7 linked regions of the Coturnix japonica genome follow. The protein of the gene in region 2 interacts with the protein of the main gene of each other region in a biochemical or structural test. Links are inferred from orthologs where the notes say so. Each region holds a gene or a part of one and is shown on either strand. Other genes may lie near its edges.

Region 1 (4,881 bases), on a different chromosome or scaffold from region 2:
GGAAGGATTCCTAACTCTTGGGAAGCAGGATCCACTTGTGCCATCTCCCATGTGGAAAAACACCCAAAACGCCGTTCCAACCTGAAAGAAGGCAGGACAACGATGTGGGGTCGGGTCCCTCTGTAGGAATCCAAAGCAGCAGTCTGGGATGCTGAATGTGTCCCAGCAGGAACCCAGGGGCAGTGCTGTGATCAAACCCTCCCTGAGGTCAGAGCAGGGATGGTTTGAGTCCAGATTTGCATCCTCCCAGCTCCCCTGTGTGCTCCCACCACCAGCAGATGACCGTGCGTGGCCTTAGAGACCCACAGGCTGTCCATAATCATGCCCACAAAGGGATAACGTTGGCCAAGCCTGCAGCTTGCAGAGCCCTCTGACCCCCCCCAGCCCAGCAGGAGATGCAGTGCAGCACTGGCAGCTATCAGGGCTCAGCACCCATTGGCAGCTTATCACCACCCGCAGCTGTGCCAGGTGGGATTCATCCGCGGGTGGGGAAAAGCCCCCTTTCCCCCCTCAGCATTTGTCGCAGTGACTGTTTTGCCTTTCATTTGTCTTTGCATCTGCCCTTTTCAAGTGCCACAAGAGCTGAAAGCCTCGGCGAATTGGCACGGGGGAGGTTGGGGGGGGGAGCCCGCTCCCCCTGCATAAACTGCCGTATGAATGAGGGAGGGGGGAATAAAACAAACCCGTGCTGCCCCCAGCTGCCCCGGCCTTTGTGAGCGCGGTGGGAGCAGCTGGTGCCGCAGCTGCCGCTCACAGCCCGCGGCCCCGGAACGGCCCCGCAGCCGGGGCGGGTGGGACCGTGTGTCCGGGCGGGGCGGCACCAACGGGCCGCATCTGGCGTGTAACTGCTGCTCGTACCACTCGCTAACGGGGATATCGCCGTGACCGGGGTGCGGGTTATCGCAAGGGCCGAGCGTTAATTAACAGCGCTCACCGCCGCCAAGCGGAGCGGTGCTGCCGTTCGGTGCTGTGCTGCAGGGCTGGGCCGTGGGCTCCGCAGCCACAGGAAGAACGAGCAGCAAAACACCGCTCAGCGTTCACTACATCCCCGCTGTGAGGCACCGCCCGCACCCAGCGCTAACCCGGCCGTCCCGCTGAGCCCCGCTGCGGCCGCAGCTCCAACTCCGGCCCCGCAGTACCGAGATGGGGGGGTGTTTATGTCCCTGTGGGTTGGGCTCCGTTGGAGGCACATTGAGGTTATCAGCGCCCCGCACACGGGATACAGACGGCGGGAGCCGCCCACGCCACGTCCCGCGGCTTTGACTATGGGCTGCCCTGCCCTGCACCGCCCGCACCGCCACGGACACGCAGCTCAGCCCCGCAGCCCGCACAGCGTCACGGGCAGCTCTAGCCCAGCAGTGCAGGGAGCGCCCGGCGCTCAGACCCGTCTGTGAGTGACCCCACGCGGGACCAGCTCCGCGCCGCCCTCGGCCCCTTTAAGGCCCGGCCGCGCTCCTCACCCACGCGGCGCCACGGCCGCGTCCCCGAGACGCCTCCCGATTGGCTCCTGCCTCAGCTCGGCGGTTCTGATTGGCCGCCTGTCAGCGCGTCCGCCGCCGCCGCCCTTAACCAATGGGCGGCCGGCACCGCCCCTCCCTCCGGCGACCTCGACCAATCAGACGGTTTCCCCGCACCCCCGCCTCAGCGCTCGGCGTTGGGCGCAGCCAATGGGCGGGCGCGGGGAGGTTGGCGCCGCTTTCGCGGCAAAAAGGATTTGGCGCGCAAAGGCGCGCGGGGCCGGAGCGCGGGACAGCCCGGCACAGCCCGGCACGGCCCGGCACGGCCCGGTACAACCCGGAACGGCCCGGAACGACCTGGGGAACGGCCCCGCGGATCGGCCCCGCGCCCGGCAATGGGCCGCGCCCCCGCCCCGGCCGCGGCCCCGCGCCCCGCGCCGCCCGTCACCTGAGCCATGGCTACGGCGGGCGGCGCGGCGGGGCTGGCGGCGCTGCTGGGCGGCTCCTCCCCGCACCTCCTCATCGTCTCGGCCTCCGAGGAGCCCGCGGGCGGCTGCCGCCCCGACGCCGACCTCCTGCTCTTCGCCACGCCGCAGCCCTCCCAGCCCGGCCCCGCGCCGCGCCGCCCCACGCTGGGCCGCCCGCCGGTAACCGCGGGACGGGGGAGGGAGCGGGGCTGAGCGGGGCTGAGCGGGCCGCCGGGCGGGGCCGGGACGTCGCGGTGCCCACGCGGGACCCCCCCCCCCCCCCCCGTCAGAGCCCGGCCGCGCGGGGCACCGCCGCTCCGGAAGCCGCCGCCGAGGCCGCCTTCCGCCCGGCAGCGCCGTTGCGCGGGGCTGCCCCCACAGGCCGGGGCCCGGCCCTGCCGCCGCGGTGCGTTCCGCGTCCCCGCGCTGAGGACGCCCTGTCCCGCAGGTGAAGCGGAAGCTGAACTTGGAGACGGATCACCAGTACATCGCCGACAGCCTGCCCGCCGCCCGCGGCAGGGCCCGCATCCCCGGCAGAGGTACGGCCCCGCTGTGCTGCCGGCCTGAGCCCTTCGGGATGGGCCTCGTCACCTCCCTCTTCCCCTCTGCCACCTGCCGTCCCCGTAGAGCGCTGGGCCCTGCCCGGCTGCTCGCTGTCAGGGCTCAGTCTCGGGGCCCTGCAGCACCATCCCCCGAGCTTCCCATTGCCAGCAGCTGCCGGGTGCTGCTCACCTGCCGGGTGTGGCGGTGCTGGGGCTGCCCCGCGCCCCACGGCTGAATCTTGCACCTGTCCCCAACAGGGGCAAAGTCTCCTGGGGAGAAATCCCGCTATGAAACCTCACTGAACCTCACCACCAAGCGCTTCCTGGAGCTGCTCAGCCAATCCCCCGATGGTGTGGTGGATCTCAACTGGGCGGCCGAGGTGCTGAAGGTGCAGAAGAGGCGCATCTACGACATCACCAATGTCCTGGAGGGCATCCAGCTCATCCGCAAGAAGTCCAAGAACCACATCCAGTGGATGTATGTCCATCAGGGTGGGGGGATAACACCGAAGCTGCCAGGGTTGGGTGGAGGGAGGGAGGTTGGGTTCCACCCTGAGATCGGGAGGTGATGGCAGCAGTGGGGTGTTAGTGCTGGGGGTGACAGCCCTGTGTACCCCAGGGGCAGCCAGGTGGCCGCGGGGGCTTCAAGCCGACAGCAGCTGCTGGAGAAGGAGCTGCGGGATCTGCAGGCGGCAGAACGGCAGCTGGACGAGCTCATCCAGACGTGCACGGTGCAGCTGCGGCTGCTCACCGAGGATCCCTCCAACCAGCAATATCCTTCGGTGCGGGGCCGGGATGGGGCTGGATGGGCTGGAGAGCTGTTGGGGAATGGAGCCCCCCCCTGCTCTGACACTTATGGTCACTGTGTGGGGTTTTGGGTGTGAATGTGGCCCCGTGTCTGCTCCTTGACCCGCCGCACCGCAGCCTACGTCACCTGCCAGGACCTTCGGAGCATTGTGGACCCCTCTGAGCAAATGGTGATGGTTATCAAGGCACCCCCAGAGACCCAGCTGCAAGTCTCAGACCCGGCAGAGGTGAGTGAGGGGTCTCTCCTCCCCATGGATCTTCACAGCCCTCGGTACAACTCCACCTTGGCACTCCATGTCCCTCCTGTCCCCAGGCTTTCCAGGTCTCAGTGAAAAGCACTCAGGGCCCCATCGACGTGTTCCTCTGCCCCGAGGACAGCTCAGGGGTCTGCAGCCCCGTCAAGAGCCCCTTCAAGGCACCTGCTGAGGAGCTGTCCCCTGGCTCATCGCAGCAGAGAGCCTCCCCGCTCCTGCATCCTGCTCAGGATGTCAACATGCTGCTGCCTGGTGAGCAAGGTGGGGATGGGGATGGGAATGGGATGGGAATGGGATGGGAAGGGATGGGATGGGATGGGATGGGATGGGATGGGATGGGATGGGATGGGATGGGATGGGATGGGAATGGAATGGAATGGGGGCACTGCCTGGGCTCTGTGGTGTGGGGACAGTGTTATCACTGTTGTTCCAGTTCCAGGAGCACGAGGTTACAGGGCTGAGGTCTTGGCTGTGTGTTAGGAGGAGCCTGACCTCCATGCTCATGCAGTGCCAAGTAGTTGGACTCAATGATCCTTATGAGCGAGTCCTTTTTAAATTGGGGTATTCTGTGATCCACCCAGCTGTGGGCTCTGCTCCTACCCAAGCTTGGCAGAGACAGCCCTGGATCTTTCTGCTTAGGAAAGGACACTGTCCCTCTTTGTCCCACCACTCAGCAAGTGGTCTGAGTCACGCTGCCCAGTTGGCCTGGATGTTTCTGATCACTCCTGATGCTTTGTGTGCCATCTGCATGGCCTCAGTAGCTTAGAACACAGCAGTTCTGGTGTGTGCTGTGGGGCTGACAGCCTCGCTCTGTCCCCACAGAAGCACTGCTACCAGGCACAGCACTGCCCTCCAAGTGCTCCACAGAGGATGTGAGCCTGTCACCGCTGGCCTCCATGGACACCCTTCTGGAGCAGGCCAAGGACGATTTCTCGGGCTTCCTGGCGGATGAGTTCATTGCCCTGTCACCACCACAGGCACAGGATTACCACTTCGGCCTGGAGGAGGGTGAGGGCATCAGTGAACTCTTTGACTGTGACTTTGGGGACTTCACGCACTTGGACTTCTGAGGCTCTTGTCCTGATTTCAGAAGCTATCCCACTGCCAAGGGGGGGGACGCAGGCAGGGCTGAGGACAGCCACGTGGTGCCCTGTGCCTTGGTGTGGCTCTGGTGCCTTCCTGGGGTCCCTGTGCTGCAGCAGCCCTGGGCCCCCTCCATCCGTCCCCTCTGCAATATTTTCTTCCCTCCTATCCGGCATCTCTGTGCCATGATGGGACAGAGCCCAGCTTGGTGCTTGAGCCCACATTGGGGCCTACTCCTGTCCCAAGAGGAGGATGCTGGGGAGCAAGGGGT
Region 2 (4,611 bases):
AAGAAGCTTGAAGTAGTAGGAGTCTAAGAATAAATCATCTTAGCTGGTCACATCAAGCCCACGGTATATTACTAACTTGCTAAAAACAGAAAACCTTTGGAAGATTCAGTTCTTACACAACATGAATCACAACCTCAATCGATCTGTCAATTCCAACACTTCTCAGCACCAGTCAGCGACGCTGGTACGTTTCCTACAATACCTGGAAAGTGCGTCTCAACTTTGACCCACAATTCCTACTTGCAATCATTAGAATGCAAATGCATTCACAGCACAACTGTAGTCCATTACATATAAGCCAATTTAAAGGATTCCAAAAGCAATGAACAAAGTTAAAATGATACAATGACTTGAGTTGGAAGGGAAAGTCCATCCAGTCCCACCCTCTGCCATAGGCAGGGCTGCCACCCACCAGCTCAGGGCCCCATCCAACCTGGCCTTGAATGCCTCCAGGGATGGGGCATCCACAGCTTCTCTGGCCAAGAGAAGCTTCACAGGCTTCTCTGTGCCTGACCACTCTCTGAATAAAGAATTTCCTCCTAACATCTAACCTAAATTTCCCTCTTTTAGTTTAAAGCCATTCCCCGTTGTCCTACTGCTATTAGACCATGTTAAAAAGTCAGCCCCCCTCCTCCTGCTTGCAAGTTCCCTTCAAGTGCTGGAAGGCTGCAATGAGGTCTCCCCTGAACCTTCTTATTTTCAACATGCCAGTAATGTTTCAGCTTCATGAAAACCATAAATATATCAGTGTATTTCTTAAACCTCTGGATATATATCTATATATACCCATATCTATCTATCTATCTATATATAAATGGTTTTTCATCTCTGCTTTTTACTGAGTAAGTTATATACAGTAGAATTTTTCAGATCTGCAAACACACAAACAAAAAAAGACACAAAGAAATAACATACAAGACACAGAAAACACTCCCACAAAGAAATTCAGACCGCTTTTGCATATCACATCATCCCTTTTTACCTGAGGGGAGGCTAAGCCTTGAGCGTAGGGTGGCAAGCTGTTGTTCTGATCCATGATTCCGGTTATTCTTTGGTGAGGCCAGAAATATTTCCTTCAATTAATTGAAATTAATTTAAAACCAAAAAGGGTTTTTGACCCTCTAAAGCATTCCAGCAAAGCAGCTTTTTAGCCAAGCTGAAAACGTGTCAGGAAAACATCAGCTCCAGAGAAAACACGTTGCGAGTCTAAAACACTAAACAGGGCCTGAAAAGAAAAGAAGTAATATCTTGAGAATAACATTTAAACAAAAGCAGGCTTATCAGCTGGTCTGTTAGATAAGAAATGCCCACATACAAATATATGCGAGAACACTCATACGCACGCACACACCCATGCACCTTATATAAAGCAATCTCTTTCTACAGCCCTAGTGCCCCTGGTGAACATCCACTGCACGTGAGCAGCCGCCTCCACAACGAAGGCCTCCTTCACACACAGCTCCAGTCCTGCATGCATCGCTTCAGATGGGAAAGCATTGACTTTCAGAACTGAATTCCACCAGCTACTGACAGACGAGCCTAAAGCCACGCTTCGCTCACACATCTCCCCCTGGGCAGAGTTAAGGCTTGGCCTTCCAAAGTTGTTTTTTGATTTTGCTATATGAAAATACTGCTGGTAAACTCAGGTTTAGGAAACCTCCTCCCATCTACTTCCATAAAGCAAAGCACTAATGTATTTTGAATTGCAATGACGTACTTCACGAGGGGAAAAAGGGAAACTAAAAGCCAATTCCAGGTATATGCATGAAACGAAAGTATTCTTCTGGGTGTTGTTTCACTTACTGTTTGTTTTTTGCCTTTTAAACAAAGACCTGTACCTCTATTGGCACGCAATGGAAAGAAACAATACAAATAGAGAACTGAAATGCTTTCATGGCGCTGTAAGGGCTGGAAGTGACCTCCAGAGATCACTGAGCCCAATCCTCTGCTAAAGCAGGATCCCTACAGCAGGAGAGTGGCTGGGTAAGTTTTGAGTACCTACTGTGAAGGGGACTCCACAGCCTCTCTGGGCAGCTCTGTCTTCCTCTATTTGTACGGAGCTTCCCATGCTGCAGTTTGTGTCCACTACTCCTTGTTCTGCCTTGAACTGGGGAGCCCAGAACTGGACGCAGTGCTCCAGATGGAGCCTCAGCAGGGCAGGGCAGAGGGGGAGATCACCTCCCTCAACCTGCCGGCCATGCTCTTTTTGATGCACCCCAGGATCCCATTGGCCCTCTGGGCCACCGGGGCACACTCATGGCCAACCTGCTGTCTGCAAACACCCAGCTCCTTCTCTGCATAGCTATATTATGAAATGCTAAGCCTTTTTATCAGATATTTTTCCTATTCATTTATAGCTTAACTGCACACTTACACAGAGAGCTCCTAAGCCATTTTAAGGCACAGCACTGAAACATTTGAAGAAAGCCTGCCCATCTTTCTCTCGTCCTTAAGGCACTCAGTATCACATTAACCACCCGCTGTTTTACCCAAAGGCGTTTCCACGTTGCACACCGTGCAAAGAAGGGGCCCAGCCGTTACCCAGCATCACGGGCAGCCCATCCTCAGGCCCAACACGCCGCGCGGACTCCACATACACCGAACCCAGCCGCCGAGCCCCGGTACCAGGCCCACGTGCAGGGCAAGGGCCGATCACGGCTCCCGTACCGAACCCAAGGCCGCCGCCGCCGCCGCGTTCCCCGCCCGCCGTCACGTGTGGGAGGCGGTGACCGCGTCCCGCCGCCATCACGCCCCCGGCACCAACGGCCGTACCGGGATCGCTCCCGTCGCTCCGCTCGGCCCGCGGCCCGCTCACCCCGCACATCCCTTCTCTCCCTCCCCCCCTCCCCGCCGCTCGGGCCCGCCCGCAGGACCCCGACCCTACGGCGGCGCCCACGGGGAGTAAGAAGCGGGCTCGGCCCGGCCACCCCCCCCGCCATAAGCGGCACAGCCCGCGCCGTGTGGGCTGCGGGGCGGAGCGGGACACGGAACGGCCGGTACCTGCCGCGCGGCGCCGCCACAACCAGCACCGCAACTGCGGGACACAGGCTGCGCCCCGAGACCGCGCCGCCGGCGCGCCTCGATTGCGTCACTTCCGCCACGAATCCGCCCCGCCCCTCTTACCGCCATCTTGAGTGAGGGCGGGGCCTGCGGGCTGTTGTCTGCGGGGTGTTGGCTTTACTCGCACCTCGTGGCACAGCGTGTGGTGCCGTGCTCACAGTGTCACAGTGTGGTGCGGGTTGGAAGGGACCTTAGAGATCATCGAGTCCAACCCCCGGGATTCGAGCCTCTGTGTAGCAGAGCGGCACTTCTACCACACGCGCCACAGGGGGGATTCGAACCCAGGGCCTGCGGTGTTGCAAAGCGGCATTGCTACTACTGCACCACCGGGGCACACGGTGTGCTGGTGTGCTCATGGCGAGAGCCTGCTGTGCTTGCCGGCCCTGCCGCCCGAAGGCTGGCACGGCTCCATGCGGCCGGGTGGTCACCGCCGATGGGGCGTGGTACCTCCAGAGCAGACGAGACGAGGTGCCTGTGCCTCGTAGAGCGCCGCCTCCTCGCTTCCGGTGCCGCCATTTTGCCGTGAGACAGCAGGGCTGGTGCCGTAGGGATGCTGTCCGCAGCGCGATACGCCGAGCTGAGGCCGGAGCCGGGATATGGGCTGGGCGGACCTGTGCAGTACCGCTTCTCGCCATACACCTTCAACGGCGGGTGAGAGCCGCGGGCAGGGATGGGCCGGGGGGAGGTGAGCTGGGCTGCGTCTTGCTCGTTGTCGTTTTGCCTTCTGTCTTCACTAGGAGAGTGGTTAGGCCCTGGAACAGGCTGCCCAGGGAGGTTGTGGATGCCCCGTCCTTGGAGGTGTTCCAAAGACCCGGTTGGGACGGGCCTGGGCAACTCTGATGTAGTAAATGTGTATGTTTGGTGGCCCTGCCAGGCAGGGGGGTTGGAACTACATGATCCTTGAGGTCCCTTCCAACCCGGGTCATTCTGTTATTCTTCTGGCTGTTCATCGCTTGCCTAAGAACTAAGTTGTGCCAATTGTGTGAATTATATGAATGCTCTTCTTTAAGGACTGTGCTGGCGATCGCTGGGGAAGACTTTCAGCATTGTTTGCCTCCGACACACGGCTGAGTGAAGGTTATGCAATTCACAGCCGGGACAGCCCCAAATGCTACAAACTGTAAGTCTGCACCTTGTAAGGACTGAAATGGAAGAATGAGCCTGTAACTCTGTGTAGTATCTTTGATTCTCTGTTACTGTCCAGTGGAAGATTGCTTTAGTACAATTAGGTGTAGAAGCCCAGGATGGCTTTGGGTAATTCGGGTGACAGAAATTGAGGCAATCTCAATTGAAGTGGTTTTGAGTGTTTAAACTTATAAATGTGTGCTGGTGTTTTAACCTCATTGAAGCTAAAGCACTGGGCAGGTATTGCTTGCTTCCACCACAACCCACCTGCAGTGGGATGTGAAAGAGAGCCTGGGTTCGAATCCCCCTGTGGTGTGCAAGGTGGTAGAATGCCCGCTCTGCTACACAGGGGCTCGAATCCCAGGGGTTGGACTCAATGATCTCTAAGGGCCCTCCAACCCACACGAGACTATGATACTGGAAAAA
Region 3 (4,086 bases), on a different chromosome or scaffold from region 2:
ATCAACCCTCCACTAAATCGTGTTCCTGAGCACCACATCCAAATGGTTTTCAAACACATCCGGGAATGGTGACTCCATCTTCTGGAGAACAAATATTCATTTTATTAGAGTTAGATATTAGAAAGCTAGATTTGAAGTTTGCAGGTGACCGCTGGATGGAGACATGGTGCATAGGGGCTTTTAAAAGCATGTCGTACTTAGTCACATTTAAAGGTGAAGGACTCTGTAAAACTTCAAACGTGGGTACAAGAAAGACAGAAAGTGAACAGGGAAAGTTAATGGTGAAGTTGAAGTTCATACATTAAGGATGTTACAGATGTTATTATGAAACAGATGCACGTCCATTAAAACCTTGTTAGGAGATGTTATCGTATTTCTTTGTCCATGTAATTTGACTTCAGTGCTTCAATGGGAGGTAAAGTCACTGCTTAAGAACTCAATGGTAAAATCCTTTTTTCAAATGATATTCTTGTGGTATTGGGTTACCAATTGTGAGGTGGATCCTGTCCTGGCTAATGAGAGATAGCAAGGAGTTGGGCTCGTGTTGCAGCCTGGGTCTGTTTGTGGTTGGGTGGCAAGATGTCAGCTTCTCCTAGAGAAACCATGCTAGATTCTGTTCTTGACTAGGATGCTCTTTGGCTTTCTTTATTTTTTTCCTTAAAGCTGACACTAGTCTTGTTTTTTATCATCCAAAGGCTCAGCTTCTCGAAGGGAAGTTTGATAGGAAAGAGTGGTATGTGGTGTTTTCAGAATGCTTGTATTTCCATGTATCTGTGCCTGGAAGAAAACCAGTGTTACATGCAAGATATGCCTGCTATAGTGTGAGGATAAAGGGGATCTGGATGTGACTACGAGCTCCAGTAACTCCTGGTGCTGCTTGATGGAGAGGTTTGAATCTTCCCACACAACACTAAGATAATTGATTAAATCTCTCCCATGGTTCTCAGCAGTAGTTAAAAGCCTGTACTCTTACAGAAGGGTTGTTTTTATTAGTGCCTTGTAGGTCTGAATATAAGCTTATAAGGCATAATTCAGGAAATTGTGCCTTAGGTTTGTTTGGAAAATGTCTGCAGGATTCTGCAGCTGTCTAATCAATGAGATTGGTGCAGAGAAAATGCTTTCCATCAGCTCTCAAGTGCCATCGATGATCTCTAAGATCCCTTCCAACCCGCACGAGACTATGATACTATGATGATACTATGATATCCACAGTGAGATGTGCTTGCTTAGAATCTCAACATTCATAGAGATTCGTTTGTTTGTTTCTGGGATCAACGATTAGAAATGTCTCGACTTCCAAAGTTTGTCTTTTTAAATTACTTCTGTGTTGCCAGGTATGACTTCAGGTCAGTCTTACTAGTGCTACACTGTGCCTAAACTCTGAGTAAGTAGAGTTATTCAGCTTGAATAAATAAAGCTCCTGGCTGGATTCTGCATTGACACAGCTTTATGGTGTCTAAATGTTGCTGACGGATTCAGTCGAAACCAAGGTTTAGCTCTAAGGGATTGTAAAGTTGTTGAAAATAGGAACAGAATGAAAGAGATTTTCAGGAACAATGTCCTGTAACTGTATTCACGTAGACTCTGGCTTCTTTATGCATAAGTTTTCAGTGCTGTTGTGGTTAATTCATACTGAGCCATCCTTTATTGCTAATGCTTTTTATCTTTACCCAGTTTAACGTAAAGCTCCATTGCAAATGCCCTTTGTGAGGCTGCAGCCATTATGCATGAGGCGTGCAGAAGGCTGACTTGAGAAGTACTCGCTTCATGGCTAATTCATGCTGGGATAAACATAATTAAATCTCCTTGAAGGGAAGTTGGAGCTGGACATCCAGGCACTGTTTTCTGTAAGCACTTCTGCCTGCCAACAAACAGACAACAGATTTTGTTCGGTTCCTTTCAATTTGGGCACCGCGAATAATATTTGGCCTTAAGACAGAGGAAGAGATAGCTGAGGCAGGGAAGTGTTTTAAAAGAAAAGAATAAGAATGTCTTTTGTATTCAGGAGACAAAACCAACAAACCCACAGTGCAAGGCAGATTTGCTTTGTAGTTGTGCTGGCTGTAACCCTTAAGAGGAATGAACCTCAGCTGCAGAGGAAGGTTAAAGAGAAGTAAAGCTTCAATGAGTAACGGTGTTTGAGGTTTTTGAGGGGGAAGCATTTTCTGTATGAAAGATAAAATCCAAGTGGGTTACTGTGCTAAGTGATAACAAATCATTGAGCAGTCTCACCTGATGGAAGTGAGTCATCAGCTGGGGGTAAACATATAGAGCTTGATCATTTCAGGGGGTGTATTAGTGTGGGGAGTACAGAGAAGTACTGTAAAAATACTGCTTGTTAAAAAGGATATTATGGGTTTTATGATAACGATGGGAAAAAAACAAGACACCCATCCAGATCCCTCCTTCTGCTGTTTTTTCCCCACTTTTCTCTATTTAAAACTTGAGTGCTGGGGAGGTACGTGCTCAGTGTGGGAAAAATCTAACAATCTCTGAGTGAGATGGGCAGAATTTAACTATATTTGACATTAGCTCACAGATAAAAATTACTGAGCAATGAAGAACAAACTGCAGATGTGGTATTTTTGTTTGTTTGTTTTGTTTTGTTTGACTTGGAGGAACATTTTGCTTGAGAAATGGTTATTCATACCCTAACGCAGAATAAAGGCTCTTATTGAGATAGACCAGCCAAAGGTTTATTGGATGTTAATTGGAAGTACAAACCCTCGCGTGTTTCCTAAGTATGTATAATACTCATGAACCTTCCATGTATACATGCATTGAGTGGAGGGAAATTCTTTTATAGACTAGAGATAGGCTTGAAATAGTGGAGGAAAAACATGCAAAACCTTGTGAAATGATAGTAAACCTTTGTCCTGTGCCATATGAAGAGTTGCTTCCCTTTGTTACTGCCACTTGTTACATCCACTTTTGAGGGCTGTCTTAAGGCCTGTCTGGTAGCTTTCTTCTGCTTCTACCAAGCTAAGTTTCATCACTGAGGAAGCTGTCTGCTGGAGCTCACATTCAAGGCAGCTTTCTTATTCCAGCTCTGAGTAGAACTGCAACTGGCTGAACGTTAAGGTAGCAATTTGTGTGCTTCTGCTTTCCACCATTTTGTTATGAGCTTGAGGTATCACTTCCTAATTCTATGATTGTTGCACTGACATCATTAACATTTAAGGAGGGAAAATGCCACATCCTTTTCCTAGCTGTAGGAAAGATGCATGAAAAGTAAGATTTCTGACTTTAGAAGTTAAATATCCTTTGTTTTGTTTTGTTCCAGTGTACATGAAGGTCAAGATCTGAAGCTGCTATGACTGACCCAGACGTCCTCACTGAGGTCCCTGCAGCTCTCAAGCGCCTTGCCAAGTATGTTGTGCGTGGTTTCTATGGCATTGAACACGCTTTGGCCCTGGACATTCTCATCCGAAACCCCTGTGTGAAGGAAGAGGACATGTTAGAGCTCCTTAAATTTGATAGGAAGCAGCTGCGGTCTGTCCTCAACACCCTCAAGGGTGACAAGTTCATCAAATGCAGAATGAGGGTAGAGACGGCTGCAGATGGTAAAACCACCCGTCATAACTACTACTTCATCAACTACCGCCTGCTGGTGAATGTGGTGAAGTACAAGCTGGATCACATGCGGAGGAGGATCGAGACAGATGAGAGAGACTCCACCAATCGAGCCTCCTTTAAATGCCCCATTTGCTTCAGTACTTTCACAGACTTGGAGGCCAAACAGCTGTTTGACCCCAGGGCAGGTAAGAGTGGTATGGGTAGCAGTGCTGGGTGTTAAAGAAAGGTGGTAGTTTTGGTAATGGATAGGGTAGTTCTTATGTTATCAATACAGGCAAGTAGTAATTGTGGTAAAATGCTTGTAGATCGATATACTTGAGTGATAAGAAGCGGAGAAATGGAGGTCTCATCCCAATCAAATTCAAGAATGAAAAAGGCAGTCTGTCCTTTTTGGTGGCTTTTGATATGACCTGATCTTGCCATTAAACTGCATGACTTCTTGTTTGCAATGAGGACGTATAAATTGCTGAGTTTTATATGCAGAAAATTTATCATGTAGATATGGGTGTG
Region 4 (4,086 bases), on a different chromosome or scaffold from region 2:
TTCTAGTGAAATGTAGCTTTCTTAGAACCTCGGAGCCTTCTGCAGATTCCCTCCCACGTGTGGTGGAGCCGTGCGGGTCCCCCTGGTGGCCGCACTTCATGGACCCTGCTTTGAATTCTCTTTCAATTGTTCTGTTTTCTTTTTAAGGTCTTCTGTGCCTTTTCTCTACTGATTATTAACTGAACTGTCGACTTTACATGCTGGTAGGATAAAATGCATTGTTTTATTGAAGTTTACTGGAGATAGATCCTAACATCAAGTGAAAGATGTTATATATCTGTTGTTTCACCTTGCTGTCTTTAGCTTCTTATGCTTTTCTGCCTCCTCGCTCAGTCCTGCTGTGATTTGCTTTGTTTTTCTCTTTTTTCAGTGTTTGGGTAGGAATTGTTTTGCATAACGGAATGAATGTAATAGACATGGAATGGGGTGGGGGGGATCTAAATGTTTCATACTGTGCAGGCACACAAAGCGTAACAGCATGTTTCTTGAAAAAGCAGACTAAATAAGAAATGATACACTTTTGTTCCATGTTAGCATAAATGTATTCATGATACTAAATATTCCAGAGAAAAACATTTGGCTGGTTGATCCTTAATTAAGAGTATATATTAAGGCATAGTGATTTCAGAAAGCAGTGCAAAGATACTTCTAACATTACAATGTTACACTGTTACATGTACAAAGATACATTCTAACATTAAATAAAAACAAAACCACCAAAGCAACAACAACTAGCTGCAGCATATAGAGATAATTAAATGTAGATGCTCTGACCATTGTAGCTAGGAACATGCTTTTTTGTTTTTTCTGGATAGTCCTGGCTTGTGATCTTAGGGAGTATTGAAGGATGTTAAAACTGAGTGTAAAGAGTTTGCTTTTGCCTAGTGTTCTGGCTGTCCCCATCGTTCTGTCAGAGTCTTTTGGACACTAAGCAAACCTGAGCAACAGACTGCTTCTGGAGGACAAACAGTTGCCCAGCATCAGATGAATAGCACATGAGATTTTTAGTGAAAACATCTTTATTCCTTTGCTGCCTAAAACTGCTGAAGGAATCACTGGAAAGTGCCTCTTGCCCTTCCAAGATAGGTTGACAAAGCTTTTGAGCAAAGGGATTGTTAGTCTGCATTGAATCTGTTGCTTTCAAAGGAATCAGCAGCTGAATGTTCCTTAATGGTGAATTCAGTGTGGCAGATAAAAGTATTCATAGGAGTCTTTCAGTTGTTAAAGTAAATAGAGAATTTTGGAAAGTATCACCTACAGAGCACTTGCTCAGTGTTAACTGATGAGTTTCATATACCTGACCCATTCTTAACTGAATAATAGACATAAGAATAACATATTAGCATATGCTGTATTGAAGATGAAATGAAAATACACACAGCTGAAAAGATTAAATGAGTCATTGAGGTTCCCTGCATGTTCTTCCTTATCCCCTTTTTTTCCCTAAGCAATAAAGCCATTCTGACAAACTCCTCCTATTTTAGCAGTTTCTTATATTTTAGGTTTTCTTGTATGTTAGGAAGAAAATAAATCTGTGTTGCATTTCATTTTCTCAAGGAACTGCTTCAATTTCCCTTTAAAAATACAAATTAGCCTATAAATAATGAAACTTATTTGGGCCTTTTAATAATAGAATCCAGATATCGGTGTGCTTTTTCTTTTTTGTAAATGTAGTGTTATTAATACCAGTGAGGGCACACATAGTAAGCATGTGCAATTGAAGTTTCTATTGTCTGTGGCAGATCTCTGAAAATAGTCAGCTAATGTTGTGGTAGAATGGCCTTCAGGGTAGTAAAACTAGAATTAGAAGTCCTTGCTTGTTGTGCAGCTATTGGATGACAAGGATTGTTGTTTACTTGAGAGATACTGAATGTGTGTCAATCTTTGGCCTTTGATTGATTGGAGAATTTGAGTTTCCTGTAAGTAAGGTAAAAGATGATGCCCAGAAGGTCAGATTAAAACCTGTTTTCTTCTTTACTGTTTGTTTTGTGTTTTATTTCCCCCCCTTTTCCCCTTTTTAAGTAATAAAAATAATCTTGACGTAGCATTTAATTATAATTGAAGATAATTTTCTGCAGTGCAACTAGGGCATCCCTGAGCATCAACAGTGTATGGAAGTGAATGGAAAATGGTTCAAGTTATTACTTATTTCCCCTTTGTTTCCATCCCTATTTCTTTTGTCACAGGCAGTTCCATTGAAATCACAGATTTTTGTTGGGTTATAGTGAATAAAATTAGGGACAAACAGTGTTTGGTTTAAAGGAGAGAAGATAATAGAATCTGTGCTGAAAATACTGCCAACTTTATGTTTGGAAGTGTTCTGTGCTGCATTTGGGGAATCCTTATGCATTGGACTACTCGGAAGTAAAAACTTAGGTGAAAGTAATTCAAAAACAATTAGATCTAATGAGTAATTTGTCAAGGTAATTGCCCGGTTCCATGTAGTTTCAGCATAGCTTGTCAAATCGCTGATAGAAGTTTTGAGCAAAAGGGAGGACAGGTGTGATAAGAGAGAAGCCTGGTATTCAGTGCTGCTGTAATTGGCATGTCATGAGCTGTTTTCATGGGGACCTCTGCTTTTTGGAAACATGCTTTGATTTGGTAATAATGAACTGTTCAGTGACAGTTATACAGCTTTTATTTGCTTAAAGTTTATCATTTGTTGTTCTGTGCTCACAATGAATGCTGTGCTATGAACACCAATATTTGAGGTATCTTTAGATGTTACTGGTCCTATTTGATGATCTTGAGGTTTATTTATTTTGTTAGAGTTATATTTAAGTTGGGTTAATCATATACAAGTGACTATCTTGCCTGGATAACATTTCGGAAATGATGCACCTTGCAGAGCTATCACCCCTGTGAAAACAACCCAAATTTTAACAGATCTGTAGTAACTGTGTATGGTAGGGATGAGTATTCAGGTATCTGGGAGCCCAGGAATACAGCAAGTTTGCAAAATTTACCACATAATTCAGAACAGAAAGCTTTTAAATTGTAGCTTGTAACGTATAGAGGCATTCCTTTGTTGTATCATACTCAAGTGAAACGCCATTAGCCAAGAGTTACTTTACAGAATGGGTTTAGTGGTATTAGCAAGGAAAATTTTACATGCTGTCAGAGCTGTGTTTCCTCTTGTGAGATTTTGAGTGCCCCTAGCAAGTTACTAAACATTTTATTATATCTGATTTACAATAACCTGTTCCAAACCTTGATGAAGAATTAAAGATGTTTGTTAAAATTTTTAACTCAAGTAAAAACCTGACAGTGCTGTCAAATAATTTGTACACTAATATTAATAAGTTCAAATTCATAATTTGAAAGAAATCAAGGCATCTGAGTGGAAGCATAAGAAGGTTTTTACAAATGCTATATCTAAGTTTGCAAACATCCGTTATGTGTTCAGATAGCCATGGTAGGTCTTATTGATTTGTTTAACAGTGAGTATGTTGGGAAGAAAAGCAAAATGATCTGAGATGAATTTTACATTTTTTCCATGTGGAACAGAAGTCACTTAGGAAAAACATTTTGCATGTTAAAATTTGAAAGTTGTTTGTAATGCAAGACAAATATTTGCCTTCATATTGGGAAGGAACTTCTGTTTATTTTTTGTTTGTTTGTTTGTTTTGCCACAGAGTAAAGCCATCTCCAGCTGAAGGAGTCAAATCCAATCCATCCAAGAGGCACAGGGACCGTTTGAATGCGGAATTGGATCGCTTGGCAAGCCTTCTGCCTTTCCCTCAAGATGTTATCGCCAAATTGGATAAGTTGTCTGTGCTTAGGCTCAGCGTCAGTTACTTGCGAGCCAAGAGTTTTTTTGATGGTAAGAGTTGGGAATGTTTTTGGTTTAGGACTGCCTGTGTAATGCCGCTTGTACTGCAGGTTGTGTTCACTACTGAAGTACTCAAAATCATTAACTTTTCTGTATTTTAGTGGAACGTACAATTGTATGGATATATACAGTATATTTGTATAAAGTAGGCTTTCTAGTTGCTTGAAAAACAAACAGAAGTCCTTAAATTTCATCAGTCTTTTGAAGGTTTGCATTTGGAAGCAATATTGCCCTTAATGAGTCTTCCAGTCCTT
Region 5 (4,086 bases), on a different chromosome or scaffold from region 2:
TCATTCATTTTCTAATGAGCAATGTTCCTGGTTTTTATTATTATTAATTGCATATAAATTGCCATTATTTTTGTATCACTGGGAAAGTATTTAGCCGTTCAGCTCTCAGAGGAACAATGCTGAACAAAGGAAATGAATGCATGGCATATTAGAACAATGAGAAACACAGAAATTTATGCATGCCATTTTAAAGACTACCAGCCAAAAAAATTAAATAAATAAAATCAAATGTATGTCATAAATCTTTTAACAGTAAGAAATAAAAAACAAATGGTTTGCCAAGTCCTTGATATTATTTAATCAGGAATGCTGCCTACTTCTGGAGTGCAAAATCTTAACCACGTATCTGCATGTATCACCAACCTTCTCTCAAGTGCTCTGCTGCAAAATTCATTGTATCTAAGATCTGCTAATCATCATCAGGAAACTGTTATGCATCTTAAGGACGTACTTTAGGCACTCAAGTGGAAAAATAAACACATTTTATTAGCTGCTTTTGGAAAATACTGATTTGTGTATTTATTTAGAGACCTTTTCAAGTTGCACCACTGTTAAATCAAATATTTATGGCATGATTTTCCAAAGAGTTTAACACCTGTTAAGGGTTTAACTTGCTGGCTTCAACAGGAGCTCCAAGTGCCCAGTGCTGCAGAAAGGCAGACCTCAAAGGGACATGGATGGATGTGCTGAAGCATCTCAGGTGCTCATATTACTGCTAAGTCCTGAAAAGCAATGGGTCCCTCACAAGCCCATACTGCCCATCACAGCATTCCATTCTTGCTAACTGTATCAGAGCTGTGCTTCACTAAAAATTGCAGAAATATGACTCACTATGCCTGTTAAATACAAAAAAACCCATAAGCCAATGCTGTGAGATAATCCTGAATCCATCTTCACTTTCCTTCTATTAGAAAATATGTGTATTTAGGTCATTAAACATGACCTGAAGTAGCAACTTACATAGGAAACTAAAATCCTCACTGAATGAATTGGAAAGCTGTTGGTGTTAGAGAGGTGAGGAGCTGAATGAGGATGAAGCCATTTTGATAAAACACAGAATAAAGAAGGAAGAGCAGAAAAACAAAAGACATTTGTTACATTGCAAAAATCTGTATCCCAGTGACAGTGAAGGTAGACACAATTCTGGCTGAGAAGTTAAAAGCATTGGCCAAAGCCAATGTAATTGCCCAAGTGCAAACCAGTTCATAGTAATAGGTTTGTGTATGGCCATGTCCATACCAGCCCACCCAGCTTTACCTCCACAGGTTTGCTACATCCTCACTCCTTTTGCCAATAGATGAATTCTCACACCTTCTGGTTGCCTTTTTCTCCCCAGAGCTGCTTTATTTAGGAAGGGAAAATATCATATCTGAAGCACCTCCAGCTGCAGCTCCTTCCTCATTCTCACTTCTGACAGCCCTGAGCCCCCTCCCATGAGCTCTGCCCACTCCAGTGCTGCTGCAAGCAGTGCCATCACCAACCCCAGCTCTCCTCTGCTCCCTCCATCCACCCCCTGCCCTTCACTCTCCAAACAACAGTATGAAGACACCATCTAGCATTTCTATATTAAATGTCTGGATTTCCTGGTGGTGTATGGCCTTGGAAGCAAAAAACATCTTTTAGGCAGTAAATTAATATCTAGCAACTAAATAAGAAACCACTATAGAGAGAGATCATCCAAATGATCATCCGACATGATTTCATGAACTGCAGGCTAATAAAACAGTTGAATATTGCAGATAGGACACATCCATCTCCTTCTACACATTACAGCACACCACAAATCTGCCCAGCAAGTCTGAATATTTTGCACATTAAAATAGTAGCTTTCATCACACTATAAAACATTTGCAAATGCAGACCAGAAAACCGACAAGCATATTTACTGTAAAGCTTTATATTTGTGTCACCAATTAACAACAAAAGTTTGGAACAAAACTAAAATAAAAGCTAATCAAAACAGCTTAGCTGTCATAACAGATGGGAACTGTATTTTTCAAATGAAGCAAAAAGCCAAAGCTTTCGAGCATTTAGTGTCATGTCAGCAGATACAGACAACCCAGAAAGGGAGGACACCAAATGTCAGGGATATATGAAGAAAAGCTGTTCGTGGCCCAAAGATTGATGTTTATGAATTTCCATTGATTTTTTTTTTTCTTCTCCTCCAGAATGATTAACTCACACTAAAACAGACCTTTGATACGAGAACTATAAATAAGTTTCCACTGTGACACTGCAGGCAAAATAAATAAAAACAAGAGCCCAGCATTATTTTAGCCTCAGACAAATGTTTCAGTACCTACATTGTCTGGCTCAGAAAGATACATAGACAGTCTCACAGACAGAGATAGAAATGAACAATTGCGGTACCTTTTTCCCACACTGTTTACAGGGCTGGCTATATTCCTACTGGCAATAGATTTTCTTCTTGACAGCTTCTTGGTGTTGGTGCTGTCATCAGTGCTGTCATCCTCTTTCTTTGGTGTGTTACTTCCTTTGCTGTTCAGGTCCCTTAGCACATTATAATTAATTTTACTTGAGATTTTCTTCTGTTCTAACATCTTTTCAATTGCCTCTCCTGCTGTGCTGGCTTGAATTGGCTCCCGCTTCTTTGCAGCTTTCTTTGGCTTAATTAAAATATAAAATTAGTGATGTAGAGACAAACAAAATGGTTGTGTAGCAGAAGGGGGACCTGTAGCTCAGCAGTCCCTGCACAGGTGTTGGCGACTCGGGGACAGGATAGGCGATGGGGCAGAGCCAGGTCAGCACTCTATGGCCTGGGGGAGGACTAAGGCTAAGAAACTTCTTTTTCTACAAGAATTCAGTGTAGGCTTTCCCATTTTTGCCAAATGCCCACGCAGTTTATTACAAATTCTTGACTGCACATTTGTACCGCTGCCAGAAAAGCAACGTGGGCCATTTCTCACATGTGAAAAAAAAAAATGGAGAGAGCTCCCGTTACAGGAACAGGGACCTTGATAACATCACCCAGCATGCAAATAAATTCCTCTGTTAAAACTACCTTCCAAGTGAGAGTCAAGCTGGGGCACTCCCCTAGGCACTGACAGCAGCATTTTGTATGAAGCCTGAAAGCTGCACATCCAACTCTTCCTCAGAATGGAAAGAAGTGGAGAAAATTAGCAATTAGCAGCAGCTTTCTAAGCAATAATGGTGTTGGGGAGGAAGCAGGATGCTGCAGCAACATCACCTGCCCACAGAGAGAGACAACCTCCCTCGGCCAAGCACTGCAAGCCCAGTGCTAACACTATGCAGCAGTTTGATGCTGCACAGACCCAGACAAAGAGAAATGACACCAGGGAACACTTCTGTCTGGGACCAATGCCTAGCTAGGAACACACAAAAAAAGTCTTCTGTTTCTCATTCAACCTTTTCCTTTTCAAAGGAAGTTTTTAACACCAAGCTCCGCAGGAGATTTATTTTTTAATGTATAATAGCCCCTCTGTTTACCTACATGGGTCAAGTGCTACCTTGAAATTGGAAAGCACTATATTAATCAAGTTCTACTCGAGCTGTCAGAAACAATACAGCTCGAGAAAAACTCCTGTGTTGTCAGAACAAAAAGGTGGGTTGTTTGGGCTGCTTCTCAGTGCCAGAGAGTTATAGAGTTCTGAAAATTGCTGGTAGAATTCCACGGCCCTGGAAGGGCGGCATGAATGAGGGACTCTGAAGCATAAAACAGTGTTTCATTGTCTGGTTTTGTTTTTGCTATTGAAATACCTAGGGGAAGTGGGAAACTCTGTCTTTCACATTAGGCAGAAAAGAAAGATACAAGATACACACATTAAAAACGAACATGGATTTTAGTTGCATGTGGAAGATTTGACTTGTCACTTGCTCAATTACAAAAAACACTAATGCTGTAAATTGTGAATATACGGCCAATTAGGTTGCTTTAAGCTGCTAAACATGGAGACAGGACGTGCCATTTGTTAACATATCCATTGCCTTCTTTATGAAAGGTAGGACTAAATACTTCTTTAAGTGGCTATAACAAAGACCTCTTCAGCTGTTCATAAAGAAATCATTATAGTAAGAGCAGAGGAAGCTGCTTAAGGTAGGGCAAGT
Region 6 (4,086 bases), on a different chromosome or scaffold from region 2:
GGGGCAATCACCTCCCTGTTCCTGCTGCTAACACTATTTCTGATACGCCATTGGCATTCTCGGCCATATGGGCACACTGCTGGGTCATGTTAAGCCAAGTGTGACCAACACCCGCAGATTCATTTCTTCGTGCAGTCTTCCAGCCAGTCTGCCTCAAACCTGTGGAGTTGCTTGGGGTGGTAAAGGAAAACCTGAGAAAGTTTGTTTCCTAGAATCAGTTGCTTTTCTTGCCAGAATAGTTCACTTAGTCTGCTCAGAATCATCTGGAACTTAACCTTCCCGCTGTATGCATCTGAATGTGTAGTGGATACACAGTTGAAACAAAATTGGAATGTGTATCTGTTCTAGAAATTTAAGATCTTCTAATTTCTAAGGAAGAACATCTGTGCTTTAAGAAGACTATTATATTGTTTCTTATGTTATGCTTACTGTTTTCTTTTTCAGTTGCAAATATTTGTAGTATGTTTTCTTTAAGAACAGGGTATGGTAGTCTGCAGAACTGTATTTTCTTCCTTCTTTCAGATTTACTTACCTGTTAGAGTAAAGAGAGCATTCTAGTTTGCACTGAAAGGAGAACAGAAAATAAAATCAATCTTTAGGGAGATGTGTAAAGTTGAGGGTTGTCTAATTTCATTTCTTCTCCTTTATTTGAATAGAAATATAAAGAGTGTATTGGATTATATCTTAGCTCCCCCTTCTCGGAGTGGAAACAAGCTGTAAAGGCAGCTGTAAACATGAGCCTTCAACGTATTTTGTGAAGAATAGGTGTCAAATAATAGAACTATAGGATAATTAAAGAAATAGACATCAGAATGTAGGCATTGTGGAAAAAGGAAGGAGAAACATAATATAAGAACAAACTGGACAGACTCTTCAGAAAGGCAACTAGACATTAAATTCATATAGACAGTTACATACAGAGGGATTTCCTACAATGTGATTATCAAAGGGACAGAAGTCCCACAAGGGAGATGCTATCTGGCTAGGCCTCAGAAATACCACAGCATTGGATAAAACTTTAGTGATGTGGCTACCTGTGCTTCTTGTATTTGTATATACTCATGTGGATGTTGTGTACTTTGACTTCAGCAAGGCTTTTAATGCTCTCTCTTGTAACATCCTCTTAGATAAGCTTTGGAAGTGGGGGACAGACAGGTGCCCAGTGAGGTGGATTGAGAACTGGCTGACTGGCAGAGCTCCGAGGCTTGTCATTGACATAGGGTCTATTTGGAACCCTGTAGCTTGCAGTGTTTCCCAGAGGTCAGACCTGGATTAAGGGATAGAGTGCACCCTCAGCAGGTTTGCTGATAATACAAAGCTGGGAGTAGTGGCTTACATACCAGAAGGCTGTGCTGCCATTCACTGAAACCTGGGCAGGCTGAGGAATTGGGTGGAAAGGAATATTAGGAGGTTCAAGTGCAGAGTCCCACACCTGGGGAGGAATAACAACACATACCAGTAAAGGGTAAGGGGCTGGCTATCTGGAAATTATCTCTGCTGAGAGGAATCTGGGTGTCCTGGTGCAGATTGTTGACCATTAGCCAGCAGATATCGATAGTATCTTGGGGTGCAATAAAAAGAGTGTGGCCAGCTGCTCATGGGGGAGTGTTCTTCCCCCTCTGCTCCATCATGTTGAAGCCAAATGTAGAGTATTGTGTTCAGTCCTTGGGCTTTTCAGTTCAAGAAAGACGGGGAACTTGTGTGGAGAGTCCAGCAGAGAGCCACAGAGATGATGAGGGGCCTTTAGCATCTCCCATATGAGGAAAGGCTGAGTAACCTGGACTTGTTCAGCCTGGAGAAGAGAAGACTGAGAGGGGAATCTTATCGATTCTTACAGGTATCTAATGGGTAGGAATGAAGTGGATTATGCCAGACTCTTTTCAGCAATGCTGAACAAAAGAAAAGAGTTGATGAACATCAATGGGAATACAGTTCCACCTGAATATGAGAAAATCATTGTTTTATTTGAGGGTGGCATAGCACTGGAACAAGCTGCCCAGAGAGGCTGTGGAGTCTCCTTCTCTGCAGATATTCAAAACCTGCCTGGACACTTTCTTGTGCAACCTCCTTTAGCAGAGAGGGTTGCACTAGATGATCTCCAGAAGTGCTTTCCAACCTGTACAGTTCTGTGATTCATTTGTACTCTGCCTGTACAATTTATCTTAGGAACACACCTCGTGTTTTATAAGTAGGAATTAATGTTCGAAATACTGTCTTGCTTTAAAGGTTTAATCTTGGGTTGCATAATTAACAATGATAAATAGCAAACAGCCATATAAATGGTTCCTTTCTGGCACAGCTGCTATGGCATGGTATCTTTTCATGGATGAAAACAGAATACAGTGCTCTTTAATTGTTACAGTTGTTCTTTCAGGAAACAGCTTTCTAAACTAAGCTAATTTTAAATGGTGATATCTGTTCTTTGATTAATTTGGTTTTTATCTTACTACAGGCCAGATCCTCCAAGTAGTTAGAACTGCAAATGGAGCTCAATATATCATTCAGCCACAGCAGCCAGTTGTTCTACAGCAGCAGGTCATACCACAAATGCAGCCTGGTGGCGTACAAGCACCTGTTATACAGCAGGTAAAGAAAAGAAATTAATAGGTACACTTGAAAGTAAAAACCTGAGAGTAGTTATTAAATGGGCTTGCATTTTTTTATTGTCAGATTTAAACAGTATACAAAGACAGAAGTAGTATATTTAGAAAAGGATTGTGTTAAGAATGTTTTCAAGGATGAAATGTTTTGGAATATTGTTTCAAATGTTTTTATTCTTGTAAGATTCAGACTAGTATTGGTTTAAAATTGCTGTTGTGTGGGTCCAATGACAATTATATTATGTGCACAATTTTAGTCAGTATCCTTTCACAAAAGTATTGATCGGTTAAATGACTTTGTGTTGCAGCATATGTAGAGGAAAATGCCTTTAAAAAAACCCAAGCAAGTAATCAAAAACCCAAAGCATATAAACAATCTGCACCAAACCTGGACATTTCATTACTGAATACAGTATGTTGTTTTGCCAGGATTTTTTTTCAGTTACAAGCTCAACTGTGCGTCCAGGTTGTGTAGGCATTGAATTTATTGTTGTGTCACAGTTCTGCAGCTTAAACCTGAATAACAGTCTGTAGCAAATTTCAGGTTAAAGTATTCTGTAAAGAAATTTTAAAAATAATCTCCTATTTGAGTTTAAACGCTACTCTACTGTGCTTGGAATTTGAGAGCAGAAAAACACCAAGTAATTAGAGAAGCTTTGTTATTGAAGATTTAATTACCTGTCTGATGTAGATGGAGTATTAGTAACTTCTTTCTCTAATTAGTCCGAGTCAGATTGATATGCTTAATTGTCTTCTGTAAGTGCTGTGGTAGTCTGGTGTGTTACCAAGCACTATACTATTCCATCAGGTTTTGGCTCCAATTCCTGGAGGGATTCCCCAGCAGACAGGAGTGATTATTCAGCCTCAGCAGATCCTGTTTACAGGAAATAAAACTCAAGTTATACCTACAACAGTGGCTGCCCCTACAACAGCTCAAGCACAGATTCCTGCAGCTGGTCAGCAGCAGCCACAGCAACAACAGGCACAACCACAAGCACCACTTGTTCTCCAAGTTGATGGAGCAGGAGACACATCATCTGAAGAAGAAGAAGATGAGGAAGAAGACTATGATGATGATGAAGAGGAGGACAAAGAAAAAGATGGAGGTGAAGATGGCCAGGTCGAAGAGGTAAAATTAACATCATTGCAGAATGCCTGTATTTCATTTTTAATTTTTTCCCTACAGTACTTAAAGGAAAACTGTAATTCTCCAAGAATGTTACCTTCCCATAATCTCGAATATGTCAGTGCTATCTGTGTACTGTAGTTTCTTTATATCCCATACTGACGTGGTGGAAACTGTTATTATCAAAGCACCTTGAAATGCAGCTGGTGTGGCAGGGGATAACAAAAAAAAAAAAAGTTAATTACGATGAGTGCCTTTTTAAAGACTTCAGCAGTATTATTTCTGGTAGTAAGGAATGGTCAGCCCTGATATCATGAATCCTTCATAAGCAAATGGAAATAATCAGCTCCATTTGGGACA
Region 7 (4,086 bases), on a different chromosome or scaffold from region 2:
TTCATGGATCTCAGCATTCTGTAAAGAGAATTATAATAATTATTTTAAGAGTAGATGTTTGGGGTCTCTCTCACTAATACAGAGTTACTGTGAAAACAAAGCTGGTTCCCATATTTCATGGGAGGGCCGGAGGTATCAGAGTATTTTGAAGCTGTAAATACAAGAACAGGTTAGATCTTGTGTGTTCCAGGTAATAGAGGGAAAATAGGTGAAAATTAAAAATTTCTGGTGTCCTGAAAAAGCAGAGTATGACTATAGATGTCAGTATTCAAAATAAATGATAATTCACAGTGTGAATGATGGAGCCTTCGCTTTCTCTGTCTGACAGAAATTGCAGAAGATTGCTTACAACCTAACAATACCAGTCCTGCAAAATTAAAAGTGTTCTGTGTCAGAAGAAGGAACCTATTTCATTTTCTTCTTGTAACTTGTGGACTTTTTAGAGCTAAAGTTTCTAAAAGTTCCTCCCTTATTTATTTTTTTCCTACCAGGCTACATATGCTTTTGGAGCAAGTACAGTTAGAATTAGGCATAAGTACATTTGTCAGTCTGTCAGTTGGCAGGCAAACATTTCTATTTGCGTTTGATAAACTGGAAAATCTGGGGGAATATAAATAGAAATGGTCAACTGTGCTATGAATAGTGTAACGGTTTCATTTTTTGTCAATCATTCAGGCTTGATCGTCTCTTTATTTTACTGGACACCGGTACAACACCAGTAACAAGAAAAGCAGCTGCACAGCAACTCGGGGAAGTAGTGAAACTGCACCCTCATGAACTGAACAATCTCTTATCTAAAGTAAGCATCTTAGGGCTTTTTGTCTTTCTGTTTTTTTGTTTTCTGATACTGCTGTCAGGACTGAAATAGAATAGAATGACTCTTCTGGGCTGTAGTTTCTGTGGATAGAGGCAGCTGAAAATACAGCATTTTTGTGGAGCTCTCTGAAAAAAGAAGAAAATTAAGAGTCTGGGTCTTTAAAGGCGTGCTGTTTTGGTAGCTTCTGTGAGGGTTGCATAAGTCAGGTTTCACTTTGCACACAGTGTTGGTATTCAGTGTTTGCTGTAAGTTCAGATTTTCTTCTACAGAAAATCCAGATCTCTACTGCCTTTTAAATGTTTCACTGCCGCTTTTAAAAGAGTGTTGCTTGTGTGGTACAGGATTGAAATTATAGGAAGCTGCATGTCTTTACATAGGCTGGAAAATGGAAACAGGTTTCCATTAGTTTGAGACTGTAGTCTGGCCAAGTCCAGTAAAAACACCAAAAATAGTTTTGTACCTGACAGCTGGAGATGGCTGCACGGCCTCAGTTCTGCTTTTATCGAACAGGTGCTCTCACCACAATTTATGATGCCACCAAGAACGGTCAGGGAATCATGAATATCAAACCACTTCCAGTGAAAGAATACTTCTTCCAGATTTGAGGCATGAAGGGAAATCAGTTTAGAGGAGCATAAGTTGTTGCTAGTGATCCATTTTGGCCTTCTTGGGTAAAATTTTGAAGCCTGTTGTTCTTTTTGGAACAGTTTTAGAAAGAAAAAAAAAATTCAAGCCTTGTTTGGTACCTGGAGGTACATTGTATAAAGTGAAATCTACATTGTATAAAGCATTGTTAACTTTGGCTGATCAACTAAATGTAACCTGCAAGTTCTTAAGGCCTGGCTATGCCATGGGTTCTGCTAAGCAGCAAAGGTCGCTTATGGTTTGCTTGGTGGTTTTTTGGTTTGTTTGTTTTTTGTCCTTTGTTTTAATTCTTTTTGAATCTTGTCTTGATCCACAGCAGTAAAAGTGTTAAACAGACTGTAATAACTGATAGATGCTCTAAAAGTATGGTTCTTTTTAACAAAATTTAATTTATTTGTTAATTTCTCTTTAAAGGTGTTAGTGTACTTAAGAAGTACAAATTGGGACACCCGTATTGCAGCTGGCCAGGCTGTTGAAGCAATAGTGAAAAATGTACCTGAATGGAATCCAACTCCGAGATTAAAGCAAGGTGCTTCTTAAATGAATTATGTAGAATAGTACGTTGTTTATCTGATGCAAACTGACTGTGATATGAAAAGTCTTAAGGCAGCTGTGCTGTTTAAAATGAACCTGCTTTTTTGTTTTATGTTCATGGACTGTGGTAACCTCTTTAGCTCGAGATGTTCGTATTCACTTACAACACTGTGCATGACCTTTGCTTCTGCTCTGTACCCTCAAAATGCTTGACTCTGTATGATTAAGAGGAATAATAACTGGTGAAACAGGGAAACTTTTAACAGGTCGATTTTGTCATATTTTGCAGTTTCTGAAAAAACCTTTCTGAGAGGTGACGTGGCAGCTTGCTGCCATCTGTGCTCATTTTGTATCTGGAGTTGTTGTGATGTTGCTTTTGTTGTAACAGAATTCATATCTGCTTTGAGGTGCTCTCACACTAGTTGCATTCAGCGCCTCCTTGTTCCATTACTGCTAAGCTTTATTCGCTGCCTTTGTTATTTTTATAAATGTTTGCTATATTTGCACCCATTCAACATATTCCTTTTCACCTTGAAATGTTGCCTCCTCCTCAGGTTCTCCTCAAAAGACAGCTGCTCTATCTTTTGGACAGCTTTATTGGTTCTTTTCGGTGCTTTTTCTCACTTGTGTTCTCCTTGAGATGCACATACCTGCCCATAGTATATTTGCTTCTTTAGACTACTGGTATTTATATGTAGTGGCAGAATGATGTGCTTCATCATGTTTTTAGTGTCCTTCCTGATGAAGCTGAGTGCCCAGTTGGCTGTTCTGGCTGTTCTGTTGCTGCCTCATAAGCTGGTAATTACAGAAATCTAACTGAAGTGCCTTCAAAATCTTCATTCACTGTTAACTACCAGTTCTCACATCAGTGCCGTATAGACACAGCTTAAGTTCTCAGTGTTGCACTTTATCTGCCATCTTGTTGTTCTTAAGAGTCCTTCTAGGATTTCATAGTACTACTGTGACATTTGGTTACCCAGAACTGCTTAATGTCACATACATGATGGGAGAGTAGTGCATAATGAAATCTCGGTCCTGTTGTCAAAGACACACAAATTGGTTCCAACATTCAGCTTTAACCTTTCTTTAACTAGCTTTCAGTATGTAAAAGGAGGCTTCATCCAGTTCTGTAGGAGCCTAGTTCCTTCAACTTTCAGTATGAAAACTTGTCAAGCAGTTTTGAATTTCTTAATAGATCTCCTCTATCTGCATGTTAGAGCTCTTTAAGGATGTTGATAATCATGTTAATGAGAGGTTTTTTTCAGGAGCTATGCTGACTCTTTCCTGATATATCTGTATATTGAGTAGCTTTATTTATAGACTCTGCCATGTATATGTATAATGAAATGTTATCTCCCTCTTCAGGTCTGAAGAAATGTAGGTATTACTCATTTTGTATGGTGCTCAATATGCAATCAGATTTATTCTACTGTAAATGAACAAACTTTCATAAGTAAGCATGAGACAAATTATGAAAATAAAAGCTGTGTTTCTTGTAGGCAATAGTGGTATTTGTAGTGCTGGTTCAATTCAGGATGTGAGCACAGCAGACTATGTATGAATGGACACTATGCATGACTGAAAGCCATGAAACACACGAGTACTGAAATATTGAGGCAAGGGAATACTTTGGAAGTGAATTCATGACCAGGAAATGATAAGAAGCCTTGTGAGGATCAACCATCTTATTGTTGTTGAACTGGACAGTATTTGCAGTTTGTCTGCTTTCCTGGCCTCTTATCAGAGATGCCTGGCTGTTGGTTATGTGAGGCAGAGCTGGCATGGTACTTAGGTCTGAACTATGTGTGAGCCATGTGCAGCTCGAATTGACGGTGGCCTTATGTGTGCATGGAAGATTTTGTGTCTGCCATTGATCAAGATTTAAAAAAGCTAAACTTACCAAGGGAGAAACAAACAGTAAGATTTGTTTTTTATGAAATGGAGTCTTTGTTTTGTGAATGAAAATACTGTATGCCTGATGATTCCTCTGCAGAGTGAAATTATGTCTTTCTCTCTGACCGTTATCTTCTGCCAGGATTTTGAGAACAATCTTCATGTTTTCCTTAATGTTATTTTCAATGTTTGCTTAG

Evidence for each region.
Region 1: the proteins of TBP (region 2) and E2F1 form a complex in vitro, tested with the Homo sapiens proteins (2 studies listed by BioGRID). The link is inferred for Coturnix japonica from reciprocal best matches to the Homo sapiens genes TBP and E2F1.
Region 3: the proteins of TBP (region 2) and GTF2E1 form a complex in vitro, tested with the Homo sapiens proteins (3 studies listed by BioGRID). The link is inferred for Coturnix japonica from reciprocal best matches to the Homo sapiens genes TBP and GTF2E1.
Region 4: the proteins of TBP (region 2) and AHR form a complex in vitro, tested with the Homo sapiens proteins (2 studies listed by BioGRID). The link is inferred for Coturnix japonica from reciprocal best matches to the Homo sapiens genes TBP and AHR.
Region 5: the proteins of TBP (region 2) and BRF1 form a complex in vitro, tested with the Homo sapiens proteins (2 studies listed by BioGRID). The link is inferred for Coturnix japonica from reciprocal best matches to the Homo sapiens genes TBP and BRF1.
Region 6: the proteins of TBP (region 2) and GTF2A1 form a complex in vitro, tested with the Homo sapiens proteins (7 studies listed by BioGRID and IntAct, with this or other methods). The link is inferred for Coturnix japonica from reciprocal best matches to the Homo sapiens genes TBP and GTF2A1.
Region 7: the proteins of TBP (region 2) and BTAF1 form a complex in vitro, tested with the Homo sapiens proteins (2 studies listed by BioGRID). The link is inferred for Coturnix japonica from reciprocal best matches to the Homo sapiens genes TBP and BTAF1.

Annotation. Positions count from the first base shown.
Region 1 is NC_029535.1:1,932,785-1,937,665, forward strand, and holds the start of E2F1 (transcription factor E2F1), read left to right. Parts: upstream 1-1,897; 5' UTR 1,898-1,912; coding exon 1,913-2,104; intron 2,105-2,372; coding exon 2,373-2,463; intron 2,464-2,724; coding exon 2,725-2,944; intron 2,945-3,085; coding exon 3,086-3,238; intron 3,239-3,385; coding exon 3,386-3,500; intron 3,501-3,586; coding exon 3,587-3,779; intron 3,780-4,349; coding exon 4,350-4,597; 3' UTR 4,598-4,881. UniProt on the Homo sapiens protein: Transcription activator that binds DNA cooperatively with DP proteins through the E2 recognition site, 5'-TTTC[CG]CGC-3' found in the promoter region of a number of genes whose products are involved in cell cycle regulation or in DNA replication.
Region 2 is NC_029518.1:36,564,164-36,568,774, forward strand, and holds the start of TBP (TATA-box-binding protein), read right to left. Parts: upstream 3,111-4,611; 5' UTR 3,001-3,110; intron 1,226-3,000; 5' UTR 1,037-1,225; coding exon 983-1,036; intron 1-982. UniProt on the Homo sapiens protein: The TFIID basal transcription factor complex plays a major role in the initiation of RNA polymerase II (Pol II)-dependent transcription.
Region 3 is NC_029516.1:71,485,008-71,489,093, reverse strand, and holds part of GTF2E1 (general transcription factor IIE subunit 1), read left to right. Parts: intron 1-3,280; 5' UTR 3,281-3,313; coding exon 3,314-3,761; intron 3,762-4,086.
Region 4 is NC_029517.1:26,403,111-26,407,196, forward strand, and holds part of AHR (aryl hydrocarbon receptor), read left to right. Parts: intron 1-3,635; coding exon 3,636-3,823; intron 3,824-4,086. UniProt on the Homo sapiens protein: Ligand-activated transcription factor that enables cells to adapt to changing conditions by sensing compounds from the environment, diet, microbiome and cellular metabolism, and which plays important roles in development, immunity and cancer.
Region 5 is NC_029520.1:47,935,419-47,939,504, forward strand, and holds part of BRF1 (transcription factor IIIB 90 kDa subunit), read right to left. Parts: intron 2,628-4,086; coding exon 2,371-2,627; intron 1-2,370.
Region 6 is NC_029520.1:37,063,511-37,067,596, reverse strand, and holds part of GTF2A1 (transcription initiation factor IIA subunit 1), read left to right. Parts: intron 1-2,452; coding exon 2,453-2,586; intron 2,587-3,408; coding exon 3,409-3,729; intron 3,730-4,086. UniProt on the Homo sapiens protein: TFIIA is a component of the transcription machinery of RNA polymerase II and plays an important role in transcriptional activation. TFIIA in a complex with TBP mediates transcriptional activity.
Region 7 is NC_029521.1:18,219,760-18,223,845, reverse strand, and holds part of BTAF1 (TATA-binding protein-associated factor 172), read left to right. Parts: exon of another isoform or gene 1-18; intron 19-675; coding exon 676-799; intron 800-1,876; coding exon 1,877-1,991; intron 1,992-4,086. UniProt on the Homo sapiens protein: Regulates transcription in association with TATA binding protein (TBP). Removes TBP from the TATA box in an ATP-dependent manner.